Oryctolagus cuniculus: one gene and its partners. The protein of the gene in region 1 purifies or fractionates together with the protein of each later gene. This does not show direct contact. Links are inferred from orthologs where the notes say so. Each region holds a gene or a part of one and is shown on either strand. Other genes may lie near its edges. The genes, in order: RNF111, SMAD2, SKI, SMAD7 and SKIL.

What was found.
Region 2: the proteins of RNF111 (region 1) and SMAD2 purify together in Homo sapiens (affinity purification with western blotting, with the first as the bait; 3 studies listed by BioGRID). This does not show direct contact. The link is inferred for Oryctolagus cuniculus from reciprocal best matches to the Homo sapiens genes RNF111 and SMAD2.
Region 3: the proteins of RNF111 (region 1) and SKI purify together in Homo sapiens (affinity purification with western blotting, with the first as the bait; 3 studies listed by BioGRID). This does not show direct contact. The link is inferred for Oryctolagus cuniculus from reciprocal best matches to the Homo sapiens genes RNF111 and SKI.
Region 4: the proteins of RNF111 (region 1) and SMAD7 purify together in Homo sapiens (affinity purification with western blotting; 3 studies listed by BioGRID). This does not show direct contact. The link is inferred for Oryctolagus cuniculus from reciprocal best matches to the Homo sapiens genes RNF111 and SMAD7.
Region 5: the proteins of RNF111 (region 1) and SKIL purify together in Homo sapiens (affinity purification with western blotting; 3 studies listed by BioGRID). This does not show direct contact. The link is inferred for Oryctolagus cuniculus from reciprocal best matches to the Homo sapiens genes RNF111 and SKIL.

The regions. Positions count from the first base shown.
Region 1 is NC_091443.1:81,919,123-81,922,972, forward strand, and holds part of RNF111 (E3 ubiquitin-protein ligase Arkadia), read left to right. Parts: intron 1-66; coding exon 67-962; intron 963-3,850. UniProt on the Homo sapiens protein: E3 ubiquitin-protein ligase. Required for mesoderm patterning during embryonic development. Acts as an enhancer of the transcriptional responses of the SMAD2/SMAD3 effectors, which are activated downstream of BMP.
Region 2 is NC_091441.1:29,859,964-29,863,811, forward strand, and holds part of SMAD2 (mothers against decapentaplegic homolog 2), read left to right. Parts: coding exon 1-182; intron 183-2,489; coding exon 2,490-2,627; intron 2,628-2,812; coding exon 2,813-2,957; intron 2,958-3,848. UniProt on the Homo sapiens protein: Receptor-regulated SMAD (R-SMAD) that is an intracellular signal transducer and transcriptional modulator activated by TGF-beta (transforming growth factor) and activin type 1 receptor kinases.
Region 3 is NC_091438.1:163,662,310-163,666,779, reverse strand, and holds the start of SKI (ski oncogene), read left to right. Parts: upstream 1-1,423; 5' UTR 1,424-2,190; coding exon 2,191-3,159; intron 3,160-4,470. UniProt on the Homo sapiens protein: May play a role in terminal differentiation of skeletal muscle cells but not in the determination of cells to the myogenic lineage. Functions as a repressor of TGF-beta signaling.
Region 4 is NC_091441.1:28,916,314-28,920,907, reverse strand, and holds the start of SMAD7 (mothers against decapentaplegic homolog 7), read right to left. Parts: upstream 3,042-4,594; coding exon 2,441-3,041; intron 1,311-2,440; coding exon 1,257-1,310; intron 1-1,256. UniProt on the Homo sapiens protein: Antagonist of signaling by TGF-beta (transforming growth factor) type 1 receptor superfamily members; has been shown to inhibit TGF-beta (Transforming growth factor) and activin signaling by associating with their receptors thus preventing SMAD2 access.
Region 5 is NC_091435.1:109,928,012-109,931,861, reverse strand, and holds part of SKIL (ski-like protein), read left to right. Parts: 5' UTR 1-402; coding exon 403-1,497; intron 1,498-3,850. UniProt on the Homo sapiens protein: May have regulatory role in cell division or differentiation in response to extracellular signals.

The DNA of each region.
Region 1 (3,850 bases):
GTACTCTTCAATGAAATAATCTAATAAAACACTAAAATGTTTTTTCTATCTAATTCTATATTTTAGGCCTTCCTCAGAGTTTCTCATGTCTCAATGGACTCATGAATATAACGAGCTCTATACTTTAAAAGTGGATATGAAGAGTGAGATTCCATCTGATGCACCAAAGACACAAGAGAGTCTGAAAGGGATCCTTTTGCATCCAGAGCCCATTGGGGCAGCCAAAAGTTTTCCTGCAGGAGTTGAAATGATAAATAATAAAGTGGGGAATGAATTCTCTCACTTGTGTGATGATACTCAAAAACAAGAGAAGGATATGAATAGTAACCAACAAGAACAAGAAAAACGTGCTGTAAGGAAAAAACGCAAAAGCCAGCAGGCTGGTCCTTCTTACATGCAGGATTGTGTTAAGGAGAACCAGGGAGTATTAGGATTGCGGCAACACCTAGAGCCACCAAGTGATGAAGATAATGATTCCTCCTTTAGTGATTGCCTTTCTTCTCCTTCATCTAGTCTGCATTTTGGAGATTCTGATACTGTGACGTCCGATGAGGACAAAGAAGTTTCTGTAAGGCATTCCCAAACCATTTTGAATGCTAAAAGCAGAAGTCATAGTGCACGGTCCCAGAAGTGGCCTCGGACTGAGACAGAATCTGTATCAGGATTATTAATGAAAAGACCTTGTTTTCATAGCAATTCATTAAGGAGACTCCCATGCAGAAAAAGATTTGTAAAAAATAATTCCTCACAGAGGACACAGAAGCAAAAAGAGAGGATATTAATGCAGAGGAAGAAACGGGAAGTGTTAGCCCGAAGAAAATATGCCTTGCTTCCAAGTTCCAGTAGTTCCAGCGAGAATGACCTCAGCAGTGAATCCTCTTCCAGTTCATCAACTGAAGGAGAAGAAGATTTGTTTGTTTCTGCCAGTGAAAACCACCAAAACAATCCAGCTGCTCCCTCAGGTAAAAGCGTTTCTAAAGATGAGTAGAACATGGCAGCTTTTACATCGTCTTTGTATTATTTTCTCATTTCTATGTCACAGTATTTAATAAAAGGAATATTGGACTCTATTATCTTTTATTTTTATGCTTATAAGTAAATTATCAACTGTAATTTGAAGCCATGTCTCCAATTCTGAGATAAAAGTTTTTAAATTTTCCGGTGGTAAAAACAGAGTTTTTTTTTTTTTTTTTTTTTTTTTGAGGATAAAAATTTACATCATTTAATACATAATAGATTACATTTTATGAGATATTGATTTGTGATACACAACTGTTTTTTTCCTATCATTCTTCTTTCATATGTTTAACTTTCATGAATACATTTTAAGATACCTGTGTGATACTTTTTTCACTTTCAAGTATACTAAGAACAGTTCTAGTCACTAAAAAAGACTGCTTAATATTATTTTTCCTTTAAGTATTCTATTGTTTATTGTTACATTGTAGCTGAAATACAATTTCTTTACAGCTGAAAAATGAATCCCAGTGTTTGGTAACTTTTATTTTGATACTATGGCCCAGAAACTTTGTCTTGATAATGCTCATTAGGGCATATGATTCAGCAATTAAAACTGAATTAAAGGGAACAGTACTCATGTGCTCATGCCCCCCCCCCCCCCACATACATAGTGAAAGTTATGTTTATAAGTTTGTATGCAGTCCTGAAGTATAAATATATCCCATGAATACAGACCACTCTAAGTTAAAGGGGTTGTAATTTTAAAAGTTTTTTCTTAAGATTTATTTATTTATTTGAAAGAGTTACACAGAAAAAGGAAGAGACATAGATTTTCCTTCCCTGGTTCATTCCCTACATGGCTGTAACAGCCAGGGCTGGGCCAGGCTGAACTCAGGTGCCAGGAGCGTCATCCGGGTCTCCCATATGGGTGCAGGGGCCCAAGCACTTGGGCCATCTTCCACTGCTTTTCCAATCACATTAGTAGGGAGCTGGGTTGGAAGTGGAGCAACTGGGTCTCAAACCAGCACCCATATGTGATGCCTGAGTTACAGCGGAGGCTTTATGAGCTACCCCACAATGCCGGCCCCTTAAATGTTTTTGAAGTGAGTGTTGAGGAACTAAGTTTGAGCAGAGGGAAAAGATAAATTTCTTGTGAAATCAGAGAGGAAGGGAATAGGATATCGGAAGACCTTTTTAAAGGAGTGGGATCATGGTTTCCAATACTGACACAGAGCTTTCCCAGTTTTGTCTGATGTCCTGCTTGTTAAGGTCAGAGTCTGCAAGTCTACTGTTCAGACTGTTAAGATGTGCCATGTCTCCCTCTTTCATCTCTCCCTCTGTATGAGTCACTGCCTTCTCCGGATTCTCTTTCCTTTTTCCTTTTTCCTCTTCTGTCCTTACCAGACCCCTAAAAACAGTAACCTTGTTGGTAATCTTAGCTTTAGCCATATGTAGTCCATATTTAAAAGCCAACCATACTTATTTTATAAGAGTTCTTTGTGATCACCTTAGGCTTGGGGGAACAGCAGTCATTTCCTTAGATTTCTGAGAAAGAGGAATGTAATAACAGGAGTTGTCTTTCTAAATTACCAGATTTTTTTCCTCATGATCAAAAAATGTAGGTTCTAGTTTTGGGAAAATGGGTTAGGAGAGCTCAATTTCTGCTTGGAATTTTATGATGCAGGATGTTGGTAATGTGGAGCAGAAGTTCTAGGGAACTGTTACTTGTAGCAGGGGGGCGGGGTGTGTGTGTGAGAATATTATGAATAAAGATCAGAATCAGTGTCTGTTTCCAGGAAGGATGAAGCATCTTAACCACTGTGCCACATGCCTGCTGCTAAATCTGTTATGTTTTACTGTGTGTTAAAATTAGGATTGGGAGGTCTCAACTTTTAATTGGAGTTACCTACTAAATGTTTATATGATTTGTATGGATGGATATTAGTTACTCTGGAGCTACTGGGGCAACTTTGTCCACATGAAATTCATCAATACTTAGTTGCTGTTAGAGTAGTGAATTAATGAAAAAACGTTTTATATTTTAAGCATTTTGTGGTAAGATTCCTGGAGTGGACATTCAACCTAGTGGTTATTATGCCTGCGTCCCAAGTCATAGGGCCTGGGTTTGATTCCTAGCTCTAGCTACTGACTCTAACTTCCTTCCGGTGCAGACACTGGGAGGCATTGTTGATATAGCTGAAGTGACTTTGTGCCTGCCATCCGTGTGGGAGACTAGACTTGAGTTCCGAGCCTACGGCTCTGGTTCCAGTCTAGCCTGGCCCAACAGAAAGCCTGAAGCTTTCTGTTTCAAATTTTTTTTTATTTTGACCAAAAAAACCTTTAGGCACAAAAGTTATAGATAATTGATTTTAGCAAATCACCTAAGAATGAAATTTTTTATATTGTTTTGCAAATATCAGTTCATTTGTTAAAATCAACAGATTTCTGGAAAATATTTGCCTCATGCTGCACCATTATCTACTTTTACATTTTTAAGGGGGGGGGGGCAGCGTTGTGGCATGGTGGAAAAGGGTATAATTCTAGAATTTCGATTTAATAAAATATGAAAAAGTTCTGGAGATCTGTTTCGTAGCAGTCTGAATATACTTAATACTACTGAACTGTATTAAGGACGATTAAAATGATAGAAAAGAGCAGGTTATTTATTTCTTCTCTGGATAGATTTTACACAAATCTGGTGCTGAATAACTTTTTGTAAACATGCCGCTATCAGTGTTTCCATCATCTGTCAATACAGATGTCAGTCAACAGTTTACAAATCCTATCTGTGATGAGAATTATCCCATAATAAGAATATGAGAGTAAAAAAAAAAACACCCACTTTAAGTGTGTATTTCTAATTTGTGAGCACATACTTTGTGTCATGTAC
Region 2 (3,848 bases), on another chromosome or scaffold:
CTTTTGGTGTTCAATAGCATATTATGAATTGAACCAGAGGGTTGGAGAGACCTTCCATGCCTCACAGCCTTCCCTCACAGTAGATGGCTTTACAGATCCATCAAACTCAGAGAGGTTCTGCTTAGGGTTACTGTCCAATGTGAACCGAAACGCCACAGTAGAAATGACAAGAAGACATATAGGTATGTTTTATGTTCCTTGTGCAAAGAACTTACGTATAAGAACCCAGTCCTCTGGCAGTTCAGCTGCTGTCATGGTTAAGTACACAGGCTTTCTTTGATTCTTCAATCTGCAAACTCTTGCCTTCAAATTATTATTTGGCACCCTTGACACTGAAAAGTTCTTCAGTAATGTGTGTTACAATAACATAAGTTTGTTAAGTTTTTGCCATCATAAAATGAGTGTGTTCAGATAGTAGGGTTAATTGTTATAAATCATGAGGTCCTCTTCCTCAGTTTGTTTATATCCCCTGTTGTATTTTTTTCTTCCTTCTGTGAGCTCATATATTAAATGATTTTAAAAATCTTAGGCTGAATATTTAAAGCAAGAGCTATCATTTAATATAATTCAGGGGGGTCTCAAAGTGTGGTCTCGGATCTGGTAATCCCAGAAACACTTGCAAGTTTCTGAGGTCAGAACTATTACGATGGTACCATTTTTACTCTCATTCTTTCATAAGTACACACTGGAGTATTTCAAAGGCTACATGGCATATGGATTTGCAAGATCTACCAAATGTAGATCTGATAGGAAAATCCAGCTATGTTCTGACAGACCTAAGAGATGTGCAAAAATGTGAAGCATTGTCACTCTTCTCACTATTTTTTTCTTTTGGATAATATGGTTGTTTTCTGTAAACATTAATGGTGATATGATTGATTTATTTTTAATTGAACTTGTGCGTGTTTTTAAGTCTGTTTTAATATCTGACGTCTAAGTTTCCATAAATGTGATCCATACAAACAGAAGCTCTTTGGAGTCCTCAATATTTTTTCTAGCAGTGAATCAAATAAGTTTGAAAGCCTTTAATAATTGAATGTCATTCTTATCTTCAAAGTAACTTAACCAAACTTTGCTTCTGTTTTCCTAGAATTAGCTCTCATCTCCCATGGGAAATACTGCTGATAGCCAGAGTGATTTTGGTCCTGCAAAATGATAGTGATTAGGAGATCTGTTAACTGTTTCCACGTGGAAGTTCTCAAATCTTGCTTGGTGTATAAATGTGGATAATCTCGTTAACGTACCCAGATGTGCTTGTAGCTCAGAAAGGCTTCTGAATATCTGTCTACTCCTACATTTACCAGAATAATTGTGGGGGTTTTCTGTGTATTTGTATTTTAATTGGGGTTCCGCATAAAAATTTAACAGAAACTTTATTCACTTCTCTCTATAAAATTTTGGGTTGCTGTATTTATCAGATCATTTTTTGTACTTCAGATTTCTAGTGTATTAAGTAGTTTTGATCAGAGAATACTGCCTGAAAAATCTTTTTTTTTTCAACTTAATCTTTTACTAATGGGCAAGCACCTGATTGTTTTACAAATATCCCATAATCTTAATAAGTTACCAGTTTCTGCATCTACCAAATCTGGCTTATTGGTTGTTTTACCTGTTTTCTTTTACTGCACAACAAAGATAATCCTCCTCCAGTGATTTGCTTCCTTAATGCCACCTGCAGAGTCCCTTCCCAACAGCACCTGGCTGGATTGAGTAACAGAGAAGGCGCACGTGTGCCAGGGCTGACTCTTAGGGACACTTCAGGATCTGCCTCCGACAGTTCTGTTTTACAAATTCTTATTTCTGATTTGTGTGTGTGTGTGTCTTTGATCTGTCAGATGCTGAACGAGCTGTTAGAACTGTCTGCTAGGATAAGTTTTCCCTTAACTAATTCCGTTTATGTTAAGAGAGATTTTGGTTGCCACCATGATACATAGTTTCAAAAAAGGTGAATGATGCTTAAACTCTTGAAATCTTTTTTATTACCTTCTTAATCTTAGTGGATCTTTAAGGAAAAACTATTTTAATGAAGATATCTTTGTCAAAGCATTAGCTAATTCCTTAAATTAACTGTTTCTTATTTTAAAATAATATATACTTTGTGTGAAAATATTTTACTATCCCTGTCCTTTTCTTGTTTAAATGCTTTTGATAAGCATATGTGCAGGGTTTTCAAGAAGGTCGTGGCAAATGTGTGCTATCAAAGGTATGCATGGATTTCAAAAAGGTTTTTGCACCGAAGTAAACTTATCTTTTAATTCCATTTTTTTCCATGAGGTTTTTGAAGTACCCTCATGTTGCTTTTAAAACTTAGTAAAATTATAGTTAAAAAAAAAACTATAAAAATATACAGTGGTATATTTCGACGTTAGACTTCAGAAAAGCATAGCTGTGAAATAGCTCACACCATTTTAGAATGTCTCCACGAAGACTCTTCTAAAGTCACACTGAAACAGTGTTATAAAACTAATCCCATATGTATTTTGTTTTAGGAAGAGGAGTGCGCTTATATTACATAGGTGGGGAAGTTTTTGCTGAGTGCCTAAGTGATAGTGCAATCTTTGTGCAGAGCCCCAATTGTAATCAGAGATACGGCTGGCACCCTGCAACAGTGTGTAAAATTCCACCAGGTATGATTCAACAATGTCAATAAACCTGTCACATCAATTCGCTTCGTTTTTCTAGTTGCTAATGTTAGGAATCAGGCAATGATTTGCATGCTTGTATTCTAAAACCTCTAGCTATTTTAAAATTACTTTCTAATAGTGATACTATTTTTTACACAGTTTCTTTTATTTTTTCCCCTCAATCATAGGCTGTAATCTCAAGATCTTCAACAACCAGGAATTTGCTGCTCTTCTGGCTCAGTCTGTTAATCAGGGGTTTGAAGCCGTCTATCAGCTAACTAGAATGTGCACCATAAGAATGAGTTTTGTGAAAGGCTGGGGAGCAGAATACCGGTATGAAATCCATGTTCAGTTTTTAAGTTTCCACTGTGTAATTCTTTTCTTATTCCATTGTTCGCATCTTTTGGAGTTCCCATGTGTCTGTTTTCATATTGGTAATAGAGTCAGCCGATCCTTATGTAAAATAATGAAAGAAAGGTGGAGGTCTGTAGAATCAAAATTGTTGCAAATTACTGTGCTGGCATTATAGGAAATCTGATTAACACGGACACACATTTTAACATAATGCAGGTTGCTGAATACCATAAAAGGAGTATATTGCAAGGCTATGTCAGCTCATGGAAAGAGAAGCATTGGCAGTTAGAACTTGAGGATGGCTGCCTGGGAAAGATGGCACACGGTCTCAGTCCAGGTTCTGTAAGATGCAGTGGTCACAGACAGGGTGGGTGAGATAGGAAATTATAATCCTGACAATTCAATAGCAGTTTGGTTTGGCAGAAAGCATATAGAGAAAAATAAGACTGGACAAGTAAGTTAAGGCCAAATACAATAGTCCTCTTTCATCTACAGTTTTCAGTTCCTGTGATCAGCCAAGTTCTGAAAATATTAAATGGAAAATTCCTGAAATAAGCTTTAAGTAAATTATTATATTCTTATAATTGTTCTATTTTTATGTCATTATTCATCTTTTACTATGCCTAATTTGTAAATGATAGGTACTAAGTATGTATGTATGGGTAAAACCTTAATAGTGTGTATAGGGTTCGGTGTTATCCATGGTTTTGGTCATCCACTGGATAAAACATATCCTCCAAAGAAAATGGGGGTTGCTCTTTGAGGTTCAGATCAGGGGACTGTTATTCAGGAGTAGAAGGGTACTTGTTGTGATGCCAGCCACTGTACTGTATATCCTGAGAAGAATGACGCTTTATGTTGTTAATCCTT
Region 3 (4,470 bases), on another chromosome or scaffold:
AGGACCCCTGCTCACGCTGCCACTACCCATCCCCGCATGGGGTGCAGCCACCCAGGCTCATGTGGCACCGGGGGTGTGCGGGCTGGCCCCGTGGTGAGGGACCCGGGCGTGTGCGGGCTGGCCCCGTGGTGAGGGACCCGGGCGTGTGCGGGCTGGCCCCGTGGTGAGGGACCCGGGCGTGTGCGGGCTGGCCCCGTGGTGAGGGACCCGGGCGTGTGCGGGCTGGCCCCGTGGTGAGGGACCCGGGCGTGTGCGGGCTGGCCCCGTGGTGAGGGACCCGGGCGTGTGCGGGCTGGCCCCGTGGTGAGGGACCCGGGACGTGTGCGGGGCGACCCCGTCCTGAGGGACCCGGGACGTGTGCGGGCTGGCCCCGTGGTGAGGGACCCGGGGGTGTGCGGGCTGGCCCCGTGGTGAGGGACCCGGGGGTGTGCGGGCTGCCCCGTGGTGAGGGACCCGGGGGTGTGCGGGCTGCCCCGTGGTGAGGGACCCGGGGGTGTGCGGGCTGGCCCCGTGGCGAGGGACCCGGGGGTGTGCGGGCTGCCCCGTGGTGAGGGACCCGGGGGTGTGCGGGCTGGCCCCGTGGTGAGGGACCCGGGCGTGTGCGGGCTGGCCCCGTGGTGAGGGACCCGGGGGTGCGGGCTGGCTCCGTCCTGAGGGACCCGGGACGTGTGCGGGGCGACCCCGTCCTGAGGGACCCGGGACGTGTGCGGGGCGACCCCGTCCTGAGGGACCCGGGACGTGTGCGGGGCGACCCCGTCCTGAGGGACCCGGGGCGTGTGCGGGGCGGTCCCGTCCTGAGGGACCCGGGACGTGTGCGGGGCGACCCCGTCCTGAGGGACCCGGGGCGTGTGCGGGGCGGTCCCGTTGGGCATGGGAGGCGGCGTGCACCCGCCCAGATCGGCTCCTCGGCGAGGCTGCGGTTGTTGCGGGGCCCTGTGGGTTTTGTTGAGGCCCGGGGGCGGCGGCAGCGGCGGGACGGGCGTCTTCCCAGCCGCGCAGGAAGCGGCCTCGGCCGGAAGGGGGGCCCCGGGCGCCACCGCCTCCGCCTCCGCCAGCGGCCTTCGGGTGGGCGGGGCCGAGGGGAGCCGAGCGGCGGCCGAGCGGAGCCGAGCTCCCGACGGGCCGACACGAGCGGAGCCGACTCCTCTGCGGGTGGTCCCGAGCGGCGGCCGAGCGCGGCCGAGCGCGGCCGAGCGCGGCCGAGCGGGGCCGAGCGGAGCCGAGCCCAGCCCAGCCCGGGCGGGGGAGAGCGCGTTCCTGGAAGAGCGCGGCTGCGGCGCGGGTCACATTCTTGGCCGGCGCTCGGGCTGAGGCGGACGCACGGCAACAAACAGCGCGGGGGGCGGGCCGGCGGCGCGGGGCGGGGCGGCGCGGGGCGGGGCGGCGCGGCGGCGGCGTGAGCTCAGCGCCGGGCGCTCAGTCCGAGCCGGAGCGAGCCGCCGGGAGGATGTGCGCCGAGCGCCCCGAGCCCCGCGCCGCCTCGGCCGCCGCCGCCGCCTCGGCCGCCGCGCTCTGAGGGCCGCGGGCAGAGGCGCCTCCGCCGCCCGGAAGCCGCGGGCGGGGGCGGCGGGCGGGCGGGCGGGCCGGGGGCCGGCGGCGGGCGAGACGCGGCCGGCCAGCGCCGCCGGGACGAGCCGGGCGGGCGCCGCGCGGTGGGAGGAGCGGGGCGGCGGCGGCGCGCCGCGCGAGGACGGCCCGGCGGGCCCCGCGCCCGCGCCCCCGCTCCTCCCGGGGCCCTCGGCCTCGGCCGCCGCGGCGATTCGCGCCTCGCGGCGCCGGCACCTGCCCGCGCGCCCCCCGCGAGCCCCGGGCCCGCGAGCGTTGGCGTTGGCGTTGGCGGCGCGCGCCGGGGCATGCCCCGCGCCTAGAGCCCGGGGGGCGCGCGGGGGGCGCGCGGGGGGCCCGGGCGGCGGCGGCGGGCGCGGCGCGGGGCGCGTGGATGTGGCGCCGGGCCCGGGCGGCGGCGGCGGCGGGCTCCAGCGGCGGGACCCCTTCGCCCCGCCCGCCTTCCCCTTCGCGCCCCCGGGCGAGGCCGAGGCCGCGGCCGTGATCGGCCGGGAGCCGGCTGCGGGGGGCGGCCGGGGCCGGGGCCGCGGGCGCCGCCGGGGCGCGCGGGGCGGCGGCGGCGGCGGGGGGCGAGGGGGCCCGGGCGCGCGGGAGCGGGAGCGGCCCGGGGAGCCCGGGCGCGCCATGGAGGCGGCGGCGGGCGGCCGCGGCGGCTTCCAGCCGCACCCGGGGCTGCAGAAGACGCTGGAGCAGTTCCACCTGAGCTCCATGAGCTCCCTGGGCGGCCCGGCCGCCTTCTCGGCGCGCTGGGCGCAGGAGGCCTACAAGAAGGAGAGCGCCAAGGAGGCGGGCGCGGCCGCGGTGCCGGCGCCGGTGCCCGCGGCCGCCGAGCCGCCGCCCGTGCTGCACCTGCCCGCCATCCAGCCGCCGCCGCCCGTGCTGCCCGGGCCCTTCTTCATGCCGTCCGACCGCTCCACCGAGCGCTGCGAGACCGTGCTGGAGGGCGAGACCATCTCGTGCTTCGTGGTGGGCGGCGAGAAGCGCCTGTGCCTGCCGCAGATCCTCAACTCGGTGCTGCGCGACTTCTCGCTGCAGCAGATCAACTCGGTGTGCGACGAGCTGCACATCTACTGCTCGCGCTGCACGGCCGACCAGCTGGAGATCCTCAAAGTCATGGGCGTCCTGCCGTTCTCCGCGCCCTCGTGCGGGCTCATCACCAAGACGGACGCCGAGCGGCTGTGCAACGCGCTGCTCTACGGGGGCGCCTGCCCGCCGCCCTGCAGGAAGGAGCTGGCGGCCAGCCTGGCGCTGGGCCTGGAGCTGAGCGAGCGCAGCGTGCGCGTGTACCACGAGTGCTTCGGCAAGTGCAAGGGGCTGCTGGTGCCCGAGCTGTACAGCAGCCCCAGCGCCGCCTGCATCCAGTGCCTGGACTGCCGCCTCATGTACCCGCCGCACAAGTTCGTGGTGCACTCGCACAAGGCCCTGGAGAACCGGACCTGCCACTGGGGCTTCGACTCGGCCAACTGGCGGGCCTACATCCTGCTGAGCCAGGACTACACGGGCAAGGAGGAGCAGGCGCGGCTCGGCCGCTGCCTGGACGACGTGAAGGAGAAGTTCGACTACGGCAACAAGTACAAGCGGCGGGTGCCCCGGGTGAGTGTCCCCGCGCCCGCCGCGGCCGGGGTGGGGGGCGTTGTGCAGGGCGGCTGAGGGCCGAGCGAGCGCACGGCCGGGGAGGGAGGCCCTCCTTCCCGGCCCCCCTCCCCCGGGGTGAGCCCTGGCGGCGGCCAGCCGGGGGCCGGGCCTGGGGGGCTGGGAGAGCCGGCCGAGGCACGCAGCTGTTGCATGCAGAGGCGGGCGCGGCGCGGGGAAGGAGGCCTGCCCCAGCTGGGGGAGGTCGGATCTGGCAGAGCCAGGCCAGGAGCCCCAGACCCGGGTCCTCCGTGGGGCCTGCTCAGGCTCCAGGCCCAGGGCTGCCCGCCCTTGGTCCCCAGCCGGCGGCCTGGTGCTGGTTCCAGCTCCTTGTTTTGTGCTTTGAAGTCTTGGGACACAAACGCGAGAACGGAGCCAGGTGTCCAGGCTGCGGTGGCCCGCGGCCGAGACTTGGCGTCTCCTGGGCCTGCCGGGGAGTGAGTCCCAGAGCCCCGTGGAGGGCCAGGGCCAGGGCTTGGTTTCCTGCTTTCCCTCCCTGCCAGGCGCAGGCCGGCGTGGGGGCTCTGGCCTGGCGCCCCGGCCGCGCGCGGGAACTGCTCACTGGGTCCTCGGGGACTTTGGGCTGTACCCTCCCCACCCCTCCCCCACGCCCGCCTGGGCAACTTTTCTTCTGGACGCCGGCTTATTAAGGCGCACACGCGGACTGCTGCGTGGGCTCAGCCATTCTTGGGAGGCCTAATTAACGCAGCCGCCGCATCAGACTTCTTTTCTGAGCCCGTGAATAGATGCTGCGGCCGGTCCTCTCTGGGCGCCCCTCCAGCCAGTGTCAGCCGCCGGGAGGAGGGGCGGGGGCGGGGGCCGGCGCCCGGGGAGGCCAGGCCCCGCGGTGTGCAGAGGGGGGGCTGTGGCGGCTGTGACGGGCGCCCCTCGCCTGCCGGCGGCCGTTGTGTTTGGGGTGCCCACCCCCACTAGCTCGTGTGGCCCGAGGAAGCCACGTGTGCGGGGCGCGGGGAGCGCGCACGTCACGGGGCTGCGGAGCGGGGAGGAGGGTCTGGGCTGAGCAGGGCGTGTCTGTGTGCGTGTGTGTGCATGTGTGTACGTGTGCGCGCGTGTCTGTCTCGTGTGTCTGTGCATGCGTGTCTCCGTGTCTGCATGCATGTATGTGTATGTGTGCGCATGGGTCTTGTGTTTGTGTCTGCGTGTGTGGGTACATGTGTGTCTTGGTGTGCACGCGTGTGTCTTGGTGTGTCGTGTGTGCATGCATGTGGGTGTGCGCCTGTCTTGTGTCTGCATGTGTGTACATGTGTGTCT
Region 4 (4,594 bases), on another chromosome or scaffold:
AGCCACAGTCCTCGGGGAAGCGGAGCTTGGTCACTCCAGTTAAGGTTTGTTACAAACACAGGGAGTTGGTTATCTCATTAATGACCATTTATCTGGTGTTTTGTAAATCGAAAGCAAAATATCACATGCTCCACAGGCCCCTTATTAGACAGGCACCAGGCAAGCAGCAACGCCTTCCCAGCTTGGGGGAGCTGGTGCAGTCCCAGGAGGGCTGGCTCCGCGCACGGGGCTTCGGTTACACGTTCATTAAAGTATTTAATGTATGACAACGCCCCGGCAAAACTTTTAATTAGTGGGGGGAACGGCCCAACAGCCAAAATGCATGAGGCAGAAGGACCTGGAGAATTCCAGGACCTAAACGGCGCCCAGCCCTTCGCTCCTCCCGCGCCAGACCCTTGGCAAAACCAACCATGGCACCAGTGTGCGCCGGTGCACAGGCACAGACACCAGTTACAGTCTGTACTCTCCAGCAGGTGACTCTGCCTGGAAGAAGGGGCTGCAGGCTGCCAGCCTGTCTCCGGGGTCACCCCCCAGGTCAGTTCTGCTAACCCTGTCGCCTGGCACCGCAGCACCAAAGGTTGGGACCCCTGTGTCGCCAGCCAGAAATCAAACGCGGACAACCACAGCAGGGCTGATGCCAATCTCAAATGGGTTTCTGCCCTGGCCGGGGGCCCTCCCGAGACAAACCAACAGGCAGGCAGAGGTACCCTAAACACTTTCATGACCAGACCAAGGATTCCCAGGAAAAAAAAGGACAGGGCTGACTTGTATGTGACTGGGGCAGGGGGCACCTACTCCCCTCTGGCTTCTGGAACTTCTTAAATGCACCACCATCCTATCCTAGACAGGCCAAACTCGGCACCTCCATTCCCTCAAACCAGCCCTGATTCCTTGGGCACTCGCCACAGTCTCTGAAGGTTCCCATCACCCTGCTCTGCTTAGTCCCCAAGCCACTTCTTTGTGGCTTAAAGCATCCGGGTATTAAAATCCAACCAGCTTCAGAGGCAGAGGGCAAATATACGTGAAAATGGAACCCAAGGTAAAGCTTATCTAGAAGAGGTCTTTGCAAAGAAAGAAAGAAAAAAAAAAAAGGCAAAAAACCAGCCACACTAACACAAAGTCACCAAACTTCCAGCACAGGAAACCCAGGTGCCACTTGGGGCGAGGCCAGCACCTCCCCAAGGCTGCTGTCTGGACACAAAACACCCCGCTTCTAGCAGAATAGGAAAAGCATTTTTTCCAAGCCATCTACTCACCAGTTGGTTTGAGAAAATCCATCGGGTATCTGGAGTAAGGAGGAGGGGGAGACTCTGGAATTAAAAAGAGGAAATAAAGGCCGGGCCATGAGAAAGAGAGATAGAAACTTATGATAACAGAGGCATTCTTTCGGCCCCACTGTTTGTCTTAGCTGTGGGGGTTGGAGGCAGGGCTGCGGGGCGGTGATTGCCTTGATATTTAGCTGTCAGATAAACAAAAGAGGCCGCCTGGCGCCAGCCTCGGCGCTCCGCTCCTCCACGTCTGCGGCGGCCGCCGCCGCCGCGCTCGCCCAGCCGGGCTGGAAACCACCAGCTCGGCCGCGGCTCGGCCGGGGCCGCGCGCCTCGCGGCTCCCCGGGTGGAGGGGGGACAGCCCGGCCCCGAACCCTAGACCCCCATCCCACCTCCCGCCCCAGCCCCTGCGAGGGAGGCACGGGACTCCCCATTCCCAGCCCAGGGGGAAGACGCGCCCCAAGCGTGCTGGTGAGCTTGGGGGGCACCTCGTCCCAGGCACCTTAACCTTTGAAAGAAAAGGTGGGGTGGGGGGAGAACGCAGGCAAGTGGGAAGGCCAAAGGGAAGGGGCTCGGGAGCTCTGTCGGGGGAGCCCAGGCCCCAGCTCCGGGACGGGCAGCAACGTCACCAATGCGCTGGGATAGAGCATTCCAGACCCAGTTCTGCGCCCGTTTGGTGCCAGAGAAAGGAGAAGGCGGGGGACACTCGACTTCAGGCCTCTAGAACGGCGCAGCCCAGGGCGCCATCCCAGCCGGGCCTCCCCTGCTAACCCGAGCCAGGGCAACATCTGGGCCGCCCGTGCCCAGTGTCTCCGCGGCCGCCAAAAGCAGCTCGGCCCTCCCTCTCGCTTCTCCCAGCCTTCCTTGGCGGGCTTGGCCCGGATCCAACTCGGCCACACACCTCAGCGCCTTTCCGGGTGCGGGGGAGGCGTGAGCCCCACTTGTCTCCGCACCCGGGTGCCGATGCGGAAGTGAGGACGTCTTTTTAACCGCCCATCAGTACAGTGTGTGGTGGAGCTGCGGCCACAGGGCCCCTGGGGGCGCCGGACAGACCTGGGAGGGAACCCCCAGGGAAAGCCCTCGGAGCCCGCCCCGGCCCCCCGTGTCTCTCTCCGCCCGGGAGGTGACTCGCGGCGCCGCGCGCCGGTCGCGGGGCGGGAGCAACTCCTCACCTAGTTCGCAGAGTCGGCTAAGGTGATGGGGGTTGCAGCACACCAGTTCGGGGTTGATCTTCCCGTAAGATTCACAGCAACACAGCCTCTTGACTTCCGAGGAATGCCTGAGATCCGGCCACCTGAACACTTTGCACAGCAGAAGGGGCAGCGAGTAGGACGAGGGCGGCTGCGCGGGCTGCGCGCTGGCGGGCGCCCCCGGGCCCGGCCTGCAGTCCAGGCGGCCGGGCAGCAGGAGGCACGCGGTGCGCGTCCCGCCCCGGGACTCCACGGCCTGGAGCAGCAGCTCCAGCTGCCGCTCCTTCAGTTTCTTGAGCACCGAGTGCGTGAGCGCCTTCAGATCCGCCTCGGCGCCCCCGGCCGCGCCGACGCCCGCGGCCGGCGGGTGGGGGTGGTGGTGACCTTTGGCACCTCGGACCGCCTTGCCCAGGCAGCAGCCAGCCCTGCCCGCGCCGCCGCCACCGGCCCCATGCGCCCGGCCGTCCGTCGCCCCTTCTCCCCGCAGCTCGCCTCCGCCCGCACCCTCCTCCCCGTCCTCGCCGCCGGGCGCACGGCTCCTCCAGAGACGCCGGACGAGCGCAGATCGTTTGGTCCTGAACATGCGGGGCGAGGAGGCGAGGAGAAAAGTCGTTTGCCGGCTAAGGAGCGAACATGACCTCCGCACACCATGAAGAACTCGGGCGCCGAGTTGAGGCAGCAGGCGCAGGCGACAGCAGCAGCAGCAGCAGGGGCCCAGGCAGGAGCGGCGGCGGCCCGAGGGGCGCTCCGTGGCATGCGCCAGTCTCCCGGAGGCCGGGGCGCGCGCGGGGGCCCGGGGGCGCCCGCCGGGGCTCGGGGGCCTGCGCTCCGGCTGCCCCACCCCGCGCGGCCCGCGCCCTGCGCGGCTCTCGGGCCCCGGCGCGCCCCGGAGGAACGCGGCCGCCGCTTCCCTGGGGGCGGCCGAGCCTGCCCCCGTCGGCGCCTCCCCAGCGAGCGGCCCCCCCGCGGCGGCTCCCGAGTGTCGGGCTCGCCAGCCTCGGCTTCCTACATGGAAGATCCGCGGGGGCAGAAACCGAAAGGCGCCCGGCGAGGCTGCCCGAGCGAGCAAAGAGCCTCGTTCCCCCTTGCTAAGCAACTTAATTTGGGGGTGGGGAGAAGCAGGCAATTATAAAAAAAAAAAAAAAAAAAAGCAGGCACGCGATTTATTTTTTTCCTCTATATCCTTAGTAACCGGATCTCCTCGAATTCCGTGCGCACGAAGGCTCGGGGGAGGGGGCCGAGCGGACTTCACCCCGCATGAGCCGTCTGGCGAAACGTGGAGGTTCTCGCCGAACCTCAGAAGCAAATATGCAAAAGCCCCAGATGAAAACCACCAGCTCGTCCGCCCGCAGCCGGGGCTTGGGAGGAGAAAATGTTTACAAAGTGGAACAAGACGCTTGCGGGGTGCAGAGGCGCATCCACGAGCTACATGCCCGCTCCGTTCCTCGCAGAGCCTCGTTGGTCTTCCTCTCCGTTTCTTCTGCCTCCCCCCGAAAGATCGTGTAATTTTTTTTTTTTTAATCCACAGAAAGGTCGGGCTAGGCTGCTTCAATCCTGCGCATCCGGGTGTCCCAGGGGAGTCTCTGGTCTTTCCTCCTGCGGTCCCGGGGGCCCAGGTTCTCGGCGGGGACTTCCTCGGGGCTGGCGGGGGCGCAGGGGCAGAAGATGCTGCCGCTGCGGCTGCGGCGGCGGCGGCGACTGCGCCCAGCGGGGCTGACAGCGCGGGGGAACGCGGCACGGCGGCCACCGCGGGCCCCCGGTGGGTCGCACGCTCCTGCCCCCCCGGGCACAAGCTGCCGGCTAGCGCGGGGGCCGCTGGCGCCCCCTCCCCTGGCCGTGGCTGGCCGCCGGGGCTCCCCGCATGGGCTGCTCGCCCCGAGCCGGCTTCGGCGGCGGGAGGCCCCGGTGTCCTCTCGCCGCCTCCTCTGAGACTCCTCTCGTCGCAGCCGGCTGCCTCCTTGTCCCCCGTCCGCCCTCTCTCGGCGCTCGGGTCCTGCTGCCGCCTCCGGGGGCTCTCCGCGGCGCGCTCAGGGGCTCCGGGGCCGGGCGCTCGGCGGCTCGGCGCCGGCGGGCTGGCTCCGTCTCAGGCAGCTCTCTCCGGCGCGGCTCCCGGACCGAGCACGGCGCCCGGCTGGC
Region 5 (3,850 bases), on another chromosome or scaffold:
TTATTGCACAAGTGATGGAATGAGCCTTCCATGTGTTTTACTTTAAAAGAACCAAACCAGACAATTGCATTGAATCTGGATATCTTGACTTGAGAAATTGGTAACTTTGTTTTGCTAAATGTGCCTGAAGAATTCAAGAAAAGAAAGGTTTCTTCAGAGGTGTGACTCTTAAAATCAATTACTAGAGCTAAAACAAGTTTTTCAGCATTTGCAGTAGAATTATACTAGGGTTTAAGCAGACACAAGCTAAAAGGTACGGAACCTATTGAATGAGGCGATTGCTTTGGAAGGTTTTCTATTAGTTAAGTTACCGTAAGTATTTGTGGACAGTACTTTTCTCCAGATAAGAAATTAATTGAAAATGCAAATCTCAGACTTAATTATTTAACACATTTTGTCTCAATGGAAAACCTACAGACAAACTTCTTGGTTCAAGGCTCAAATAAAAAACTGAATGGGATGGCAGATGATGGCAGCCCCCCCGTGAAAAAAATGATGACAGACATTCATGCAAATGGAAAGATGATAAATAAGGTGCCAACGGTGAAGAAGGAGCATGTGGATGATTTTGGAGAAGCGCCGATGGAGACTGACGGAGAGCATGTCAAGCGAACCTGTACTTCTGTGCCTGAATCTTTAAATCTAAATCCCAGTTTGAAGCACACGCTGGCACAGTTCCATTTAAGTAGTCAGAGCTCTCTGGGTGGGCCAGCAGCATTTTCTGCTCGCTATTCCCAAGAGAGCATGTCCCCTACTGTATTTCTGCCTCTTCCATCGCCTCAGGTTCTTCCTGGTCCACTGCTCATCCCTTCTGATAGCTCCACAGAACTTACCCAGACTATGTTGGAAGGGGAGTCTATTTCTTGTTTTCAAGTTGGAGGAGAAAAGAGACTCTGTTTGCCGCAAGTCTTAAATTCTGTTCTTCGAGAATTTTCACTTCAGCAAATAAATACAGTGTGTGATGAATTGTACATATATTGTTCAAGGTGTACTTCAGACCAGCTTCATATCTTAAAGGTCCTGGGAATACTTCCATTCAATGCCCCGTCTTGTGGGCTGATCACATTGACTGATGCACAAAGACTCTGTAACGCTCTGTTGCGGCCACGAACTTTTCCTCAGAACGGTAGCGTACTTCCTGCTAAAAATTCATTGGCCCAGTTAAAGGAAACTGGCAGTGCCTTTGAAGTGGAACATGAATGCCTGGGCAAATGTCAGGGTCTGTTTGCACCCCAGTTCTATGTTCAGCCTGATGCTCCATGTATTCAGTGTCTAGAGTGCTGTGGAATGTTCGCACCTCAGACATTTGTGATGCATTCTCACAGGTCACCTGACAAAAGAACTTGCCACTGGGGTTTTGAATCAGCCAAATGGCATTGTTATCTTCATGTTAACCAAAAGTACTTAGGAACACCTGAAGAAAAGAAACTGAAGGTAATTTTAGAAGAAATGAAGGAGAAATTTACCATGAGAAATGGAAAGAGAACTCAGTCTAAGGCAAGTTTGTTTTATAATAAACAATTTTGAATAATGGAAATGGTTTACTTTGAAGTCAGAAATCTCTTTAGTGTGTAACTTCACCTGTCAAGAGATTTAGTACTGATAACAACAAAACATTGATCAGTGTGCTATGTTTCTATTGTAATTTTTAGGCTATAAAATATTTTTTCTGTATGTTTTCTCATTTGACCTTCCAGATAACCTTGTGAATGAAGTAGGATTACTCCTATTTTATAGATAAGAAAATGAAGTTAAGAAAATGAAATGACCCTTCCAAAATTATGTATCCAGGGAGTGGAAGAGTTGGGGCGACTGTCTCAAATCATACCCTTTCTTTTTCACACATCCTGCTTCTTGAAGACAAAATCTGTTTTTTTTCCTAGGACTAAAGATAATTTACACTTAGCTATTATCTCCATATACAAAAGATAATAATGGCAAGCCACAACACTTCAGGCTTTGGGCTTCAGATAACAGTTTTCTTTTTTCTTTTTCTTTTTTTTTTTTGACAGAGTGGACAGTGAGAGAGAGACAGAGAGAAAGGTCTTCCTTTGCCGTTGGTTCACCCTCCAATGGCTGCCGCGGCCGGCGCACCGCGCTGATCCAAAGGCAGGAGCCAGGTACTTATCCTGGTCTCCCATGGGGTGCAGGGCCCAAGCACTTGGGCCATCCTCCACTGCACTCCCTGGCCACAGCAGAGAGCTGGCCTGGAAGAGGGGCAACTGGGACAGAATCCGGCGCCCCGACTGGGACTAGAACCTGTTCTTTTGGCGCCGCAAGGCAGAGGATTAGCCTACTGAGCTGCGGCACTGGCCCAGATAACAGTTTTCAAAGGTACACCCATGATTTTGTGACTTTATGACTCTAGTAACCAAGACTTATAAAAGATTTATTTATTTATTTGAAAGGCAGAGTTACAGAGAGGCAGAGAGGGAGAGGATGAGTGAGATCTTCCATCTGCTGGTTCAATCCTCAAATGGCTGCAACGGTGAGGGCTGGGCCAGGCCGAAGCCAAGAGCAAGGTGCTTCCTCTAGTCTCCCACATGGGTACAGAGGCCTCAGTACTTGGGCCATCCTTTGCTGCTTTGCCAGGCGCACTGGCAGGGAGCTGGATGGGAAGTGGAGCCAGGAGTTGACCCAGTGCCCATATGGAATGCCAGCACTGTAGGCGGTAGCTTTTACCTGCCATGCCACAGAGGCAGCCCCTGACTATTTTAAAACAAAGAAATACTTTATTATGACACAGATAAAATTTTGTTTTTGACTAATGACGTAAAAAACTGTCAACAAAGATATCATTAACTTGTTTTTTTTTTCCCCGTTGTGTTATATGGCAGATAAAACTGATATTTTTATTCTGATTTAAGATTTTTAGTGCTTGGGCAATCCACAAGATTTGGGTTACTAAATATTCAACTTGTTGGTCTGATTACTTTATGTATTTTCCTAGTTTGCTAAAATGGATATATAATTAATGCTAAGTGTTTAAAATATAGCAAACATTGCTCTTACAGTTTTACATGTATAATTACAACAAAAGACTGGCTATGTTTTGTTTGACAAATTCTGATTTTTCCATTATTTAATTTTGATTCCTTGAAATACCTCTGCTGCTTCTATTTTTAGAGACTGAATGAAGCATATTGAATGAATGAAGGTTATTTACAACAAATTTAAGAGTTTTGACTAGAAACTAAGATTTGGTGTCATACTCGTTATTATGGTGTCTTTAAGGTTTTAAGGAAAAATTAGTGAATGATAAAGTGGTTTACTCCTGAAGTTCAGTGAAGCTAATTTGAGACTCTCATTAGGGTTGTTTATAGCTTACTACTTCCAAAAGGTGTATACTTCAGAATTCCTTGCCAGTGGCAGCTAGATAAGTTTATGTTCTACAGGTGCAGCTATTAACTGATTTTAAAGCAGGAATGACTGAATCAAGCTTCAGAGTGTGGAACTGGCTTTTAGTGGCCTTGTCCAGTGCTGAAGTGTGTGTTCAGAGATAAACTATATTCTCAAATTATGGAATGGGCCTTTTCACTCTCCAGATGGCCGCAATGGCCGGAGCTGCGCCGATCAGGAGCCAGGAGCTTCTTCCTGGTCTCCCATGCCAGTGCAGGGGCCCAAGGACTTGGGCTATCTTCTACTGCTCTCCCAGGCCATAGCAGAGAGCTGGATTGGAAGAGGAGCAGCTGGGACTAGAACTGGCGCCCATATGGGATGCCGGCGCTTCAGGCCAGGGTGTTAACCCACTGTGCCACTTCGCTGGGGGCTTGACTTTTACATGTCTGTAGATGGCCACCTTATTTGCCGTATAGTCTTGCTTAAATCTGTTAACTCTGACAGTATTTTA